4 linked regions of the Yarrowia lipolytica genome follow. The main gene of each other region encodes a partner of the protein of the gene in region 4 in a complex. Links are inferred from orthologs where the notes say so. Each region holds a gene or a part of one and is shown on either strand. Other genes may lie near its edges.

Region 1 (3,984 bases), on a different chromosome or scaffold from region 4:
TACAAGTACGTACAAGTACAAGTACATACAGTACAGTATGTACTTGTGATGCTACCCGTCGATCTTGACCTATTCTAGCTGACAGCATTTAGATTGTTTCACACCCCGGAAAATTACTAAACATACATTATCCTAACTAATACAGGTCCTGGCAGCCCGTGCCAGGAGTCACGCCATGGCGTCTCCCCCAAATATCACCGTTCTATCTCACCCATCTACCGCTTAGCCCGTCGGGTCTTGGGACCAGAAGGTAGACGTCCGACGGAAGAAATGGGCTTTGGAGGTTCAGGGGCCGGCAAAACACCCAGATAGTTTGTTTTGAGAGCAGGGATGTTAGTGGAAGGCTTGATCTTGGAGTTAGCAATGTCGATGCCCTCGGTGGATTGCAGCAGCCGTCCCAACACACCCTCGATTTTCATTGCAAGCCGTCGCTCCTCAAACGACACTGGTGGAGGTATGTCAGGTGTGGCCAAACGGTCTGCCTGGAGTTGTTGCAGTTGGAGCATGAGTCTGCTGACAAACTCGAGCTCGGTGCCAGTTTTGATGGCTTCGAACTCGTCGTCGTCAATGAAGTTTCGAGGGTGCCATTGGAGAATGTCTTCCATGGGCAGATCCTTGGAGGGGTCGACATCTTCATCTCTAAACAGAGGCTGGAGGTCTTCCTCTTCCTCTCCCTGTCCCCCCTTCTCCTCTTCCTCTTCCTGTCCCTCCACCTTAGCCTCAGTCGCGTCATTCATCTCCACGTCGTTAGTATCCTCCTTTTTGGTGTCGTTCTTTCCAAGAGCGTCGTCGATGGCGCTTTCTCGCAGTCGCCCAACCTTCTCGTACCACAGAGCTCCGGTTGAAGCGGGGTCGTAGACGGCCTTACCACTGTCGCTAGTGGGGGCAAAGGACGAGTTTGCGTCCATCCGCAGGAACCGGCTGGGCGCCAACTCGGAGCCGTTGGGGTGCACAAAGTGCGTCATCATCTCTGTCGGAGGCAGGGCTGGGTGTGGAAGTCGCGACACGGCAGGTGTGAGGTAGCCCAGTTGGTAGGCCGGAACCGACCGGGTACGTGGCAGTACGTTGGTTACCTGGAACGCGCCCGGGGTTATACTTGGGCGCGGGTCGATGGCCGATTTGGTGGACAACGTCGAAAACAGAGGTCCATTCTGGCCCATGACCAGAAACGATTCTGCGCTCCACGACTCCAAGTCCGCAGTCAAGTCGGCGTAGTCGGCCACGATTTCCTCCTCGAACTCCGTCACGTCCTCGGGTACCACATCCTCGGGGTCCTTGCCTCCAAACAGGTCCATCCGCGAGCCTTCTCGGATGATGAGGGCTGCGGCAAACTTGAAGAACCGGTCCACCTCCAGATACTTCTCCGAGCCAATTGGCAGCGCCACCAGAGCCTGGACGGCTGCGGTCTTGACGTCCACGTACAAGTTGCGCACCGAATCATACGCCTTCTCGGATACCGAGGTCAGATCAGCAACGTTGTGTTGGGCATAGCTTGCAAGCACCGACAGGTTTGTGGACTGAGGCGACACCTGGGGCACTGCCTTTGTGGAGAGCACAGTCTTTCCGACGGCGTCGGCTAGCAACACGTCCAAAATGTCTTGTATGAGCGACATGTTGTCTTTGTGTTGGTGTCTGGGTTCGATGAGATGTGTGGTGATTTTTGTTCGACGTGATGAACGTTCCGACGTGTGGGTGTTGACTAGAGTATGACAGAAACCATACTCCAAAAATTAGCTTCGTCATGTGACCCAGCCAAGAGACAGCGGTGTATGAGATGGCGGAGAAGAAGTGGAGTGGCTATATTAATTTCTGTAAATTTGTTTCGACGGCGAATAATCCACTTAGAATTGCTTTCAAATCTTTAAACCTATTCTAATGCCGCCTTGTATCGACGTCCTGCTTCTTCCGTTGTATGGCAAGCATGCATACAACACTCATCTCTTCATACTCTTATCTAGTACGGGTACGAGTACACATCTCAGCACACCATGGACGACTCGGACGACGACTACATTGAAAACATTAGTGGAGACGAGTACCAGGGTGCCCCTCGGCGGTCGCGACGAAACCAGGCCCCCAAGGGCGCCGGAGGCTCGGTGGAGAACATGAAGATGGCCAATGGAGGATACTCATGGGAAGACGAATACCATAGATCTTGGGACGTCGTGCAAGAGGACGAGGGAGGATCGCTGGCAGGCTCGGTGGCGGGTCTTGTGGAAGCAAGAAAGAAACGACACATCAAGGATGCAACTCCGTTCCAGAGAGGTATCATTCGAAACCTGATTTTGGTGCTCGACTTTTCGTTTGCCATGAAAGAGTCCGATCTCAGACCAAACAGGTACCAATTTGTCATTAACCATGCCATTGAATTCGTAACCAACTTCTTCGACCAGAATCCCATTTCTCAGCTCGGAATTCTGGGCATGAGAAACGGACAGGCAATCAGCATATCGACATTGGGCAGTAACCCCAACGACCACATTAACGCCCTGACGGCAGCCAAAAAGCTCGAGCCTCAAGGTGATCCATCTCTTCAAAATGCTCTTGAAATGGCTCGAGGTCTGCTTTTCCATGTGCCTTCTCATTGCACTAAGGAGGTACTGGTTGTTCTGGGTGCCTTGTTGTCGGCTGACCCAGGAGATATCCACGTAACCATCGACAAGCTCGTTATTGACAAGGTCCGAGCCCGAGTCATTGGTCTGGCGGCGCAGGTGGCGATCTGCAAGGAACTGTGTGTCAAAACCAACTTTGGAGACGCTTCATACTATGGTGTCGTGCTGAACGAACAGCATTTCCAGGAGCTCATGGACGAGGCTACTACACCCTTGGCAGAGTCACAACAAAGCCAGAGCGCCAATCCAGCATCCCTGGTGCTCATGGGATTTCCTTCAAAGGTTTCAGAAGCAGCTCCCTCTCTTTCGGCCTCCGATGCAGCTCTCACACAAGGTGGATACGTCTGTCCGCAATGTAAGGTCAAGGTGTCTTCACTCCCCACAGTCTGCCCCTGCTGTGGTCTCACACTTATTCTGTCCACCCATCTGGCCAGATCGTATCACCATCTTTTCCCCCTGGCTCCATTTATTGAAGTCCCCTGCAAGAACGCACACAAGTCTGAATTCTGTGCAGGCTGTCAATCCAAGTTCCCAGTGGTGGCAAGAGATGCAAAAAACATCCAAGCCGATGGCTCCATGACGTCACGGTATGAGTGTCCCACCTGCCACTCTCATTTTTGCATCGACTGTGACGTCTTCTGCCACGAAATTCTACACAACTGCATTGGCTGCCAGGCACGCAGCTACTCTCTCTACCAGGTGGTGGTCACCAAACACAAGGATGCAGCTCCTTCTCTTAAGCTGGTGATGAAGCGGCCCGATCCAGACGGAGAGGAGAGCTCTAGACCAGTCAAGGTGAGGGTAGTTAATGATAACGAGGGTCCAGCTTGGAATGAAGGAGGACAAGCTCCTACCTGGGGGGAGTAATTACAAATGAACAAGGCTATAAATCACTGGGTGCCTTCTCTTTCGGGCACATGTATACAATACCAATACGACATAGATACATAATTCATTTGAATCGACACAAACGTATTTATTTTACCGCACAGTGTATGTACACTCTACACTACAATAATTACAGTAACAAAAACCACGTGTGTTAAAATGCTTAATAAATCATCACGATACGTAAGTAAAGCTAAACGAGAATCTCAAAATCGTCGTCCGTGTCGCCATCCCACTTTTTGGCTCGCTGGGGCATAAAGTCGCGAGCCTCGCCTCGTCGCCGTCGTAGCGACTTTTTCGCTGGCCGGTCCATCAAGAGACCCTGAGCCTTGAGACTGGCAGTAAGCTGGGTGCCCTGAAACACAGTGGCCAGGAAAGCAGCAGTAAGAGCCTGCGACTCTTGAAGACTGTCCTTGAGCTCGCTATTAGAAGATGCACTGAGCTGCGACAGAATCGATCGCAACGACCGCAGCAGGCGCTGGTC
Region 2 (3,369 bases), on a different chromosome or scaffold from region 4:
ACCTCAACAGATGGTCCACTCTTCAAACGGGGATGTTGGATCAACATGGGGTTCATGATCGCTTCGGTATTTGGTACTCTGGGTATTGTCTTCTTTCTGAAACGACGACGCATCAGTGGAACAAATCATGCGACCATCAGTGAGACCCAGAAGGAGTTTGTGTATATGCTGTAAAGAAGTATTCGAGCATTTTATTTATCCAGGAGTAACGGCTAATGATCTGATAATAGTACAGTATGTACTGTAGATATATACGTAGTAAGTTCGCACTTCGGTGTTGAATTCATATCACACGCAACACACTGAAACTCGTTACAACTCACTCCAACCATATCTACGCCCTATTCCTGGCTATCCTATAATACATGCATGCAATAAACTATCTACCAGTACGGTCCAACGTGTCCTACTCCTTCTTGGTTCGCTTGGCCTTGGCTCGAGCTCGCTCCTTGTCCAGGTTCTTCTTTCGTTCAGTGGAAGACAGGTATCGGAACTTCTTCTTGGTCTTCTTGACCAGCTTCTTGACCTTGGGCTCAGCCATGCCGGAGTAGACAGCGGCCAGACCAGCCTTGTCCAAGCTTTCCTTCAAGACCTCGTCAGCCTTGGACATGTCCACATATGTGTTGTTCTGGTCCTCATCATCGGAATCAAGGGACACGGCCTCAATGGTCACCGTGGTTTTCTTTCCCTGACCGTCCACGTACTTCTTCTTTTGCTTCTTGAGCACTCCGGGCTTATCGATACCCTCCCAGTCGGAGAAGTCGTCTTCATCAGTGCTAGACGACTTTTTCGACTTCTTTAAAGTCTTCTCTTCGTCCTCCTCTTCGTCCTCCTCTTCATCCTCAGACTCGTCGCCAGAATCAGAATCCTTCTCGTCGTCAGTGCTGAAATAGCCCGATCGAGCTCTCTCGATATCCTTCATGGCCTTCTGCATTCGAGCTCGCTCCTTTTCCTGGTCACCTTTTCTTTCGTCTCGCAATTTTTTCCGCTCGGCGATCCGGTCCAGCCGCGCCTGCTCCTTGGCCTTCTCTTGCGCCTTTTCCTTTCGTTGCAGCTTTCGCTTTCGGAAGCCCGTCAGGTACTCCTTCCGGTTGGCGGCGTCGTAGGAGACCTCATCCACGCCAAACTGGCTAGTTTTTTTCTTGGCGTATGACCGGTCGCCCTGCGTCAAGATCTGTCTGTTGGTGGCGGCCATTTTGGGGAGTGTCTTGGGGTATATAGGGGTCAGGCCAAAACTCGAAAATGAGGTGAACGCTTAAATGAAAAATATCAGTGGAGGTTTAGACCTGCATGAGACTCGAACTCTGTTATGAGGAAGGCACTACTTGTAGACGGGGTGTATGAAATGAAAAGAAGAATGAGGAAGCGGAAGTGGAAGCCGGGACATTCTGAGCACTTTGGACCATGGATTGAAGATCCGGGCCGAGTTTCGAACCGATCAGTGATGCATAACAGCTTCAAATACGAACCCTGAGTGTGATAGAGCGACATGTTACAATTGTATGGGCAGTGGCGTGAGTTCGATTCACTCTACTGGCACGATATTGTAGGGAGGTAAGTTCAGGCTGGCTGACCACTGAAATATGACATGACTAAGCTTTGATGGAGACCGAGAAGAAAGGAACTGGATAAGTAATCCCACTCACAGTACAGTATCAACTAATTATATCACATGATCACATCAATATGTACCCACCCCTATACACGTGTAAAAAGAACTGTACACTCGTACAAGTACAAGACAGGATTGTACTGGTACTTTCGCAGCTCATTCAAATCAGCAAACTCAAATCCTCTATCTAACATCTACTTTTCAGACACCGAAGCCTTCCTCCACCACCATGAACGCCATTGATGGAACGTCCCGCCAGCTCAAGGACACGGAGGATCAGACTCTGGACGACACGCCGTCGTTGTTGTCGATCATCATTGACGCCCATGTGCCGTCGTGGGAAGAAATCAAGTCGCAAATATCCATCTCGGAGGCTGTGGCTTCCATTCTCGTCTTCATCAACGCCCACTTGGCTCTGCACAACTCCAACAGCGTTAATGTGATTGGATACAACGCCAGTGGTGCTCGAATTTTGTATCCTCCTAAAAGCGGCGTTGAATCGACTAGATCAAAGGAGAGAGAAGAGAGATCGGAGAGTGTAAGCGATGGAGAACAGGCACCCAGCAAGAAGGACCACTCCATGTACAGACAATTCAAGACGGTGGACGAGGTTGTGCAGACGGAGCTGTGGAACATGCTGAACCACACCAACTACGTGGAGGAGGAGAAACAACACAACTCGGCCATCTCCGGAGCACTGAGTCTAGCTCTAGGGTTCATAAACAAACATGTGTTTGTGGACGAGTCGAGAATGCGAGCAAGGATCCTGCTGCTCACCGTCGGACACAAAAACGAAACCATCCAATACATCCCTACTATGAACTGCATTTTCGCCGCCCAAAAGCTCAAGATCCCCGTCGATGTGTGCAAACTGGGTCCTGGATCCGACCAGGTCTTTCTGCAACAAGCATGCGACTCGACACACGGCATCTACATGGATATCAGTGAAAAGAACTCCAAAACACCCAAGGGTTTGGTTCAGTATCTGCTATCGGGCTTTATCTCAGACCCCAGTTTACGACCCCATATTGTGCTGCCCACCCAGTCCAATGTGGACTTTCGAGCAGCATGTTTCCTGACTAAACAGGTGGTGGATATTGGCTATGTCTGCTCTGTCTGTCTGTGTATCATGAGCCAGATTCCCAGCAACAGAAGATGTCCTACATGCGATACTACCTACTCTGAGAAGACTTTGGCTGGTTTGGGTCGAAAACCTCTCAAGAAGAAGAAAAAGAAGGTCGTTAAGCCATAGTTGCTATTAGACCGATCCCTAACATGAACCAGTGCGGTTCATATAGCATAGATGTAAACATAATGCAATGTATTTGTATAACCCTTGATGAATGGTTAGTGTATGTGGCCAGAATCGGCAGTTGAATGTGTATACATGTAAAGTTATTGGCGCTGTGTCGATCTCGTCGTCTCTACAGCACTGCTTGCGATATCCCCCTCAGACGTGCCCATTGTGAGTTTGGAAACCAAAAACTCACAACCACCCGTCTAGCCCTGAGTTGCTCATCCTCGACTCATCACTGCTTCAAAAGCGAAACCTCACCCTCCTTCAGTCCTTTTGTCACCAGTCCAAACCTGAAGTTCTTCGGATACCCATGCTTGTCAACCAGATGCATCCTCCTCTTCCTGTACTCTGCAAACCGTTTATCACAGCCCTCCTCAAAACATGCAAGATATTTGTCGCCGCGGTCACGTGATATCGCTACGAACGGGTCGTGTTCTTCGTCCAGATGCAGATTCAGAAA
Region 3 (4,578 bases), about 1.0 Mb from region 4:
GGCTGTCAATTACGCCAAGGCAGGAGCTGACTGTGTGGCACCCTCGGACATGATTGACGGTCGAATCCACGACATCAAAAAGGGCTTGCTCAAGGCCGGTCTTGCCCACAACGTCATGGTTATGAGCTACACTAAGTTCTCCGGAAACCTGTACGGACCTTTCCGAGAGGCTGCCTGCTCTGCTCCCAGCCACGGAGACCGAAAGCGATACCAGCTCCCCGCTGGCGGTCGAGGTCTCGCTCGACGAGCTCTTGCTCGAGACCTGGCCGAAGGTGCCGATGCCGTCATTGTCAAGCCTTCCACCTTTTACCTGGATATCGTGGTGGACGCTGCTGAGATCTGCAAGGACGTGCCTATTGCTACCTACCAGGTTTCCGGAGAGTACGCCATGATCCACGCAGCTGCCGAGAAGGGCGTTGTTGATCTGGAGGTGATGGCCTTCGAGGCGGCCTACGGTAACCTGCGAGCCGGAGCCAACCTCCTTATCTCTTACTTTACCCCCGACTTTCTCGAGTGGTTGGACCACCACCACTAAGGTGACACTACTAAGACGACAAGGCCCGATGACGAAGTAATGAGACCATGCCCCTAGAGTATCTAGATAATTATTGATGAAGAAACGAGAAGATATATTACAGCAGCAACGCCCTCCACTCGTGGATCCAACTACAATACAGAAAAAAGCACAAGTACAGTCCTTAATAGTGTATGAAGTATCTACAGTACCGGTACTTGTACATACTGTAGCGTCTGACATTGAAGGAGGTACTGCTGCACTCGGACAATCCCACTACGAACAACAAATCGAATAGGTAACATTCTATACATAATTTAGTCCGACTATCCTAACCATCGGACCCTACTGTCAAGATTAGTTGACACCCTCTTCCTTCCTTTCTCATGCTAGTGTACATTATAAATAACTAATCCTCGAGCTTCTTGACGTCCTTGACAATCTCGTCAAAGTTCTCCTTGTACTCGACCTTGGTGTCGGCCTTTTTACTCTTGCCTCCGCCGGGAACAATCATGACGGTGGAAGTGGGTCGCTTAGTAGCACCGGCAGCTCCGAGATCCTCCTTGGAGGGGATGAAGAGGTAAGGAACACCGTTGTCCTCACAGAGAACGGGAATGTGAGAGACGACATCCATGGGAGAAATGTCTCCAGCGATGATGACAAGACCCTTCTCGCCCTTTCGGAGAGCCTTGACAACCTCCTTGACACCTCGCTTAACGTGCTTGGCCTTGGAAGCCTTCTTCACGGTCTTGAGCACCTTCTTGTTGAGCTTCTTGGGGGCAAGAGGCTTGGCGAAGGGCAGCAGAGCCTCCATTCGAGCGTCGTAGTTGTCGACCTCGTCAATCTCAACGGTGATATCTCCCTTGTCTTTGCCCATTGTTGTAGTGTGATGTGTGAGACTGCAGGATGAAAAAAAAATTTAGCTACAGCGCTTGAAAAAACTTATTAGGGTTCAGAGGTTATGAGCATCCAGGAATACATGCACACAAGATCAGAATTAAAAAGTAAACAGATAGACAGCTTACGGACATGATTACTATTAATGATACCATTATTGGGTTATGAGCCGTTTACACACTCCTGATAAATTTTTCAGATCCCCAGCTCCTCCCAAAACAATCTACCCTAACCACGACGCCATGCATTACACAACCTTGATATATCAGTAGCACCATTCGTTGCGACAGATCAACCACCAGAGATGAAGTTCTACATCGATGATCTGCCGGTGTTGTGGCCATACCCTCGGATCTATCCCGAGCAGTATGCCTACATGTGCGACATCAAGAAAACCCTGGACGTGGGAGGCAACTGCATCTTGGAAATGCCTTCAGGAACAGGCAAGACTGTCTCCCTGTTGTCTCTGACAGTGGCGTACCAGCAACACTATCCCGAGCATCGAAAGATCATTTATTGTTCCCGAACAATGTCGGAGATCGAGAAGGCTCTGGCTGAGTTGAAGAACCTCATGAAGTTTCGAACTGAGACTCTAGGCTTTGAGGAGGACTTTAGAGGGCTGGGTCTGACCTCACGAAAGAACCTGTGTCTGAATCCCAATGTGCGATACGAAAAGAAAGGTTACATTGTCGACGAGAAGTGCCGAGCCATGACATCTGGAATTGCCAAGCAGAAGCTGGCTGCAGGAGAAGACGTTACTCTATGTGAATACCACGAGAACATGAACGACATTGAGCCTCACAACTACATTCCACCTGGTGTTTTCACCTTTGAGGACATTTTGGCGTATGGCGAGGAGCACAAGACATGTCCTTATTTTACTGTGCGTCGAATGATGGCCTTCTGCAACGTCATCATCTACTCTTATCATTATCTACTCGATCCCAAGATCGCCGACCGAGTTTCCAAGGAGCTGAGCAAAGACTGCATTGTCATTTTTGATGAGGCCCATAATATCGACAACGTCTGCATTGAGGCTCTGTCTGTCGACATTACTGAAGACTCCTTGAAACGAGCCACTCGGGGAGCAAACCATCTGGCCAAGAAGGTCAGTGAGGCCCGATCCAGCGACTCTGAGAAATTGAAAAATGAATACAACAAACTGGTGGATGGATTGCGAGATCTGGAATCCGGAGAACAAGAAGATACGTTTCTCGCTAACCCTGTGCTCCCTGAAGATCTTATTTCGGAAGCTGTGCCTGGAAACATTCGAAAGGCAGAACATTTCGTGGCCTTCTTGAAACGATTCATTGAATATCTCAAGAGTCGAATGAAGGTGCTTCATGTCATTTCCGAAACCCCTGCATCGTTCTTGAAACATCTTCGAGATTTGACATACATTGAACGAAAGCCTCTTCGATTCTGCGCTGAGCGTCTATCGTATCTGGTCAGAACCCTCGAGTTGACTCACGTCGATGATTACACTGCTCTCAAGGAGATTGCTGTGTTCGCCACCTTGGTGTCTACCTACGACACCGGCTTCCAGCTCATTCTGGAGCCCTTTGAGACCGATCAGGCCACCGTTCCTAACCCCATTTTGCATCTTACATGTTTGGACGCCTCCATTGCTATCAAGCCTGTCTTTGATCGGTTCTCAAGCATCATCATCACATCCGGTACCATCTCCCCTCTAGATATGTACCCGAAAATGTTGAACTTCGAGACTGTGGTTCAGGAGTCGTACACCATGACACTGGCACGGCGAGCCTTCTGTCCTCTCATTGTGACCAAGGGTTCAGACCAGGTAGCCATCAGTTCTCGATTCGAGATCCGAAACGATCCTTCAGTTGTCCGAAACTACGGTAACCTTCTGATTGAATTTTCTAAGATCACACCTGATGGCCTTGTCGTCTTCTTCCCTTCATATCTTTACATGGAGTCTATCATTTCCATGTGGCAGACTATGGGTATTCTGGACGAAGTGTGGAAGTACAAACTCATTCTGGTCGAGACTCCTGATGCTCAGGAAACCTCTCTTGCCTTAGAAACTTACCGAACTGCCTGCTCCAACGGTCGAGGCGCTGTCATGCTCTGTGTCGCTCGAGGAAAGGTTTCGGAAGGTATCGATTTCGACCACCAGTTTGGAAGAACTGTGCTTATGATTGGTGTTCCTTTTCAGTACACCGAGTCGCGTATCTTGAAGGCTCGTCTCGAGTTTTTGCGAGATAACTACCACATTCGAGAGAACGACTTCTTGTCTTTCGATGCCATGCGCCATGCTGCCCAGTGTCTGGGACGAGTCTTGCGAGGTAAAGATGACTACGGTGTCATGGTGTTGGCTGACAGACGTTTTGCCAAGAAGCGAAACCAGCTGCCCAAATGGATCAACCAGGCCATTTTGGATGCTGACACAAATCTGTCCACAGATATGGCTCTAGCTGCAGCCAAGAAGTTTTTGCGAACTATGGCCCAGCCTATGAACAAGGAAGACCAGGAGGGTGTTTCAGTGTGGTCATTGGAGCAGCTTCAGGAGTACCAGGGATCCAAAAAGGATGGAGGTTACCGACTTGCCCCCGAGGATGCCATGGATATCGATGAAAAGGATCTTGAAGAGGGTCTCAGAGAAGTCGAACAAGCCAAAAAAGAAATTGCTGCTCGATAACAACGGTACGTACAGATATCCGTAGCAGCATATAATATAACAAGCATTATTTAATTAAAACACAAGAGCAGTCCACAGGCACAGTCAATGCAAGGTTATACAATACAATAATAATATACATAATTTATGATCATCCTCTTACTCCTCCATTTCAACCTCTTCCGCTTCCTCACCCTCAGCCACAGTCACTGTGAACTTCTTCTCGGCATCCGCATCAACATACGAGTCGCAAATGCACCAAACGTGACCACTGACCTCTCCATGCTCGGGGAACGAGACATCGATGTTGAAAGTCTGGGACTCGAGAGGCAAGGTGACTCGCTTGATACCAAAAATCTGCTTTGTCTTGGTATTTCCAACCACGATCCACCAGTTCTCCGTCTTGGGCTGGGGGAACAGGGGAGCAACCACCTCCAGATTAGCACGCTCATCCTCCTCGTACACATCTCTCTCCACAGTGACCTCGATGGTTCCGACATCGTTAGTAGCGTAAGAGTCAGCAAGC
Region 4 (3,843 bases):
GTCGACATTATCTATTTTACTGTGTGACCTGTAGTGCAGTTATCTGGCAACTGTATGGGTAGGTGCCTCCAATTGGTGATCTCGAGACACGATCTTTACATAATTGAACATAGTAGGAGGTTTTTCTACAGTATTTATAAACATTGAAACCCGTATTCCCATTGCATGTCACTACAATTTCTCCCGACAATACTCATACATATATTCTCTATGGTTACTCCTCGACAACACCAGCGGACTCCCACTCGCCAGTGAGATTCTCCTTCCACAGAGTGACCTTGTTGTCGCCTCCAGAAACTGCCAGCACGTTGCCGGACAGAGACCAGCTAACCTTCCACACCACATCGGGGAAGGGGATGTCCTGAAGCAGCTTCTTCTTCCATGGCTGGTTGCCCTCCTGGGTCCACACAATGACGGTCTTATCCTGCGAAGCGGAAGCAATGTAAGACTTGGACAGAACAGAGGAAGACCAGGCAACGTCTCGAACCCAGTCCTTGTGGCCAGAAAGTGTCTCCTCAATCACGTAAGTCTTGGAAGAGGGGTCGTACTTCCAGATCTTGACGAGGTTGTCGCATCCTCCAGTGACAATTCGAATGTTGTTTGATGCTTTGCCGTTGATGGGCTGAATGAGCGAGCCGGACACGGCAGGGGGAGCCCAGGAGGCGGAGTTGGCGCCCACATCATGGGCGGCGAAAGTGGTGGCCTCGCAGTTACCTCCCTCCTTGAACTCGACTACGGACACGTTGCCGTCGGAAGAAGCGCATAGGAGTAGGGGCCCGTACTCCTGGGGAGCCCACACCACCGAGTTGACGGAGGCATTGTGCTGATGCTGAGCAATGTTAGTCCATCGACCGTTCTCCTCTCGCCAGATGAACACCTTGCCATCGTAGGAGGCAGAGGCAATAATAGAGCCGAACTTGGGATGGGCCCAGCTGACCTGCCAAACGGGGCCCTCGTGTCCTCGCAGCGTCTCGACGAGTTTGTGGTTGTCTCCATCAATCTCGAAGATCTTGATGGTCTTGTCAGACGAACAAGTGGCCAATCGCTTGCCGTAGTAGTCCAGGACGGCGTCGTGGATGAGGTCGTCGTGCGTGTTTCCTATGGTCACCTGGGTTAGCTGATTGCCGGATCATAGCTGTCGTTTCCATACTCACCATTCTGATGGATAGTTAGATATGTCGTGTTCTCACGTTTGAGTTCAGTGATGTGTGTGGTGGGTGTGTCCTTGCATACGGTACTCGTAACCTGTTGTAGGGACAGGAGCGACGCGGGAGGGAGGGACAGGCAATTTCAGTTGACACTCTGACTCAAACCACCATGGGATTAATGTTGGTAATTCACCACTTTCTATCATTCATTTCATCATTCCTCCTACATTGAGGTGTTGTGCAACGTGTACCTGCAAATTAAAGTTGTAAACGTAAGGGATCATCGAAGAGACGTGAGGTCGTGGAAACAAGTAAACACGTAACCACGAGGGAGTGGATGTTGATAGAGAAAGTGGTGGAGAGGTACGAAGAGGTATAAAAAAGCTCTAGGATAACGGATCAGACAAAAAAAAACAGCTCTAAATCAATAGAAGGGATGGTTCACTATGGCTTGTTGTCAGCTTGAACGAAAGTAAAGTAAAATACTTAACGGTAAACCAACCATTCGCATACTGACGCACAAATAATTTCTGTCAACCGTGAACATATTCTTTTGACCCAAGTATTTCGAATTGGAGGAGAACTAAGAGAGTGAAAGGTTTTCAAAATAAGAGAAAACCCATGGTTTTGGTGTAGCCATTCAATCACGCACTCCTGTCATATCAACCATAGCCATCTCTTACCTCACTCTCCTCCAGTATCCATTTATGTAGAACTCTAATAAGATCTTGCATGATATGACAAACTGACCATTGTTGATACGGCAATCACAGTGGATATGACGAGCCAGTTCAAAAACAGCATCAATGACTACCTGGAAGGTCTTCCGGAGGCAGTACTAACTCGGCTGTACCAGTCTCCGGCCACATGTCTGGCGGTGTTCCGACTGCTACCTGCTCTGGCAAGAACACTCATCATGGGCATGATTTTCAACCCCGATCCCATAGCAGTAGCCGACGTCGACGCTCTGGTGAAGCCTTCAAGTCAGCGACTCAAGCTCGAAACACAGAAGAAACTGCGACTGCTCCACATTTTCACAGAGACCCAGGCCCATATCATCATTAATCCGACATTCAAAAAGAACCTGAGGGCAGCTCTGGTAGGAGGAGACCAGAACATTTCGTTTGGAGTGCCCTGCGACACGGAAGACAAACACAAGGTGGATGTGGCGTTTTTGGATGCTCACGCTGTCTCTCAATGGGAGATGATCTTACATTTTATGGTCGGAACGTCGATTGGAAGAACACCCAGTGATGGAGTGCTCAACCTGCTGAAGCACAGTGGACTTATGGAACCCGAACGGGGAGGACTGAGAATCACCAATGCAGGATTCCAGTTCTTGCTACAGGATGTAAATGCTCAGATTTGGACACTGTTGCTCCAGTATCTCAACATGTCCGAGTATCTGCAGATGGATCCTGTAGACGTGCTCAACTTCATTTTCATGCTAGGTTCTCTCGAGCTAGGCCAGGACTACTCGCTCAGTGCACTCTCCGAGACACAGAAACACATGCTGGAGGATCTGCGGGATTACGGTATCGTCTACCAGCGAAAAGCATCGTCTAGACGATTCTATCCTACGCGACTGGCTACTACTCTGACATCAGAAACGGCTGCACTTAGAACAGCCAGTCAGAGCATGGAAGCAGCTACACAAGACACAATTTCGTCTTCTGTTGCTGCCGACTCTGGATTTATCATTCTGGAAACTAATTTCAGACTCTACGCCTACACAGAGTCTCCACTACAGATCGCAGTACTGAACCTTTTTGTCAATCTTAAGACACGATTTGCAAACATGGTTACCGGTCAGATCAACCGAGACTCGGTTCGATTTGCGCTCTCAAACGGTATTACTGCCGAACAAATCATCACATATCTCTCTGTTCATGCACACCCACGTATGAAGGGGATGGAACACGTTCTTCCCCCTACTGTGGTGGATCAGATCAAACTGTGGCAACTTGAGATGGACAGAATCCGAGCCACCGACGGTTACTTGTTCTCCGAGTTCAAAAACTTTGACGAGTACAAGGATGTCTCCACTTATGCCAAGGAGCTGGGCGTTCTCTTGTATGAGAATCCTGGAAAGCGAAAGTTCGTGTCTACGCTTGCTGGTTCTCAGCAGATTGTTGAGTTTGTCAAACGACGAAATCAAAAGCACCGTAGCTCCGCAAACTGACCAACTAGAAATTGACCATCAAAACCATAGCATATAATAGATCGCACTAATAAAACAAGCGATGTCAACGTTGAAGTTATTCAATCCATACTATATACTGCCCAGACATTTCCTTCATTAAAGCCCATAAGCGGAGGAAAAAGCACTGTCAATATAGACAGTGACAGCATCGCTGGACCCGTCGGGGCTGAGTCGCTCGGACTTTGCCAAGTCTCGCACTAGCTCGTCCAGTTTGGTAGATTCACCCTCAAGCTCAGCGACAGAGCTGTTCATGAGGAAGCCGGTGACAAGGTCGTCGACGCCGGCAGCAAGCTTATAAATACGGGAGTTGACACTTACAAGTCTGTCCTTGGAAGTGGCATCAGCATCAGCCTTGCATAGAGACGAGTATCGTGATGCCAGAGCCTGAACGAGCTTGAATAGGGTAATGAGCTTTGCATGCCACTTCTCAGCCAAAGCAACAATTTCGTCGCTTCGGGAAGTAGGGGCAGCGGGAGCAGCAGGTTCTGCCTC

Evidence for each region. Proteins that work in one complex are often made in the same cells at the same time.
Region 1: YALI1_F37742g (region 4) and YALI1_D35398g share a complex: the UniProt entries of both Saccharomyces cerevisiae proteins name them as parts of the 7-subunit TFIIH core complex. The link is inferred for Yarrowia lipolytica from reciprocal best matches to the Saccharomyces cerevisiae genes TFB2 and SSL1.
Region 2: the proteins of YALI1_F37742g (region 4) and YALI1_C05820g are in contact, whole or in part, in a cryo-EM structure (PDB 7K01), measured with the Saccharomyces cerevisiae proteins. The link is inferred for Yarrowia lipolytica from reciprocal best matches to the Saccharomyces cerevisiae genes TFB2 and TFB4. Residues at the interface, in NP_015203.1 of Saccharomyces cerevisiae: Leu33, Tyr36, Arg37, Pro41, Lys44, Phe45, Met48, Ala49, Phe52, Asn53, Lys64, Trp65, Val66, Asn67, Ser68, Asn69, Gly70, Ala111, Leu112; in NP_015381.1 of Saccharomyces cerevisiae: Val59, Asn62, Ala63, Ala66, Phe67, Asn68, Met114, Arg117, Phe118, Ile245, Gln246, Ala249, Thr250, Phe253, Ile254, Leu258, Pro260, Ile261, Ile262, Lys264.
Region 3: YALI1_F37742g (region 4) and YALI1_F27663g share a complex: the UniProt entries of both Saccharomyces cerevisiae proteins name them as parts of the 7-subunit TFIIH core complex. The link is inferred for Yarrowia lipolytica from reciprocal best matches to the Saccharomyces cerevisiae genes TFB2 and RAD3.

The regions. Positions count from the first base shown.
Region 1 is NC_090773.1:3,537,765-3,541,748, forward strand, and holds YALI1_D35398g (uncharacterized protein), read left to right. Parts: upstream 1-1,988; coding exon 1,989-3,479; downstream 3,480-3,984. Other genes in the region: YALI1_D35394g (uncharacterized protein), read right to left, coding at 216-1,613; YALI1_D35424g (uncharacterized protein), read right to left, coding at 3,694-3,984. UniProt on the Saccharomyces cerevisiae protein: Component of the general transcription and DNA repair factor IIH (TFIIH) core complex, which is involved in general and transcription-coupled nucleotide excision repair (NER) of damaged DNA and, when complexed to TFIIK, in RNA transcription by RNA polymerase II.
Region 2 is NC_090772.1:580,204-583,572, forward strand, and holds YALI1_C05820g (uncharacterized protein), read left to right. Parts: upstream 1-1,841; coding exon 1,842-2,864; downstream 2,865-3,369. Other genes in the region: YALI1_C05789g (uncharacterized protein), read left to right, coding at 1-174; YALI1_C05813g (uncharacterized protein), read right to left, coding at 407-1,195; YALI1_C05837g (uncharacterized protein), read right to left, coding at 3,142-3,369. UniProt on the Saccharomyces cerevisiae protein: Component of the general transcription and DNA repair factor IIH (TFIIH) core complex, which is involved in general and transcription-coupled nucleotide excision repair (NER) of damaged DNA and, when complexed to TFIIK, in RNA transcription by RNA polymerase II.
Region 3 is NC_090775.1:2,763,529-2,768,106, reverse strand, and holds YALI1_F27663g (uncharacterized protein), read left to right. Parts: upstream 1-1,715; coding exon 1,716-4,073; downstream 4,074-4,578. Other genes in the region: YALI1_F27686g (uncharacterized protein), read left to right, coding at 1-535; YALI1_F27667g (uncharacterized protein), read right to left, coding at 924-1,391; YALI1_F27574g (uncharacterized protein), read right to left, coding at 4,212-4,578. UniProt on the Saccharomyces cerevisiae protein: ATP-dependent 5'-3' DNA helicase.
Region 4 is NC_090775.1:3,772,337-3,776,179, forward strand, and holds YALI1_F37742g (uncharacterized protein), read left to right. Parts: upstream 1-1,926; coding exon 1,927-3,330; downstream 3,331-3,843. Other genes in the region: YALI1_F37734g (uncharacterized protein), read right to left, coding at 215-1,108, 1,155-1,157; YALI1_F37770g (uncharacterized protein), read right to left, coding at 3,448-3,843. UniProt on the Saccharomyces cerevisiae protein: Component of the general transcription and DNA repair factor IIH (TFIIH) core complex, which is involved in general and transcription-coupled nucleotide excision repair (NER) of damaged DNA and, when complexed to TFIIK, in RNA transcription by RNA polymerase II.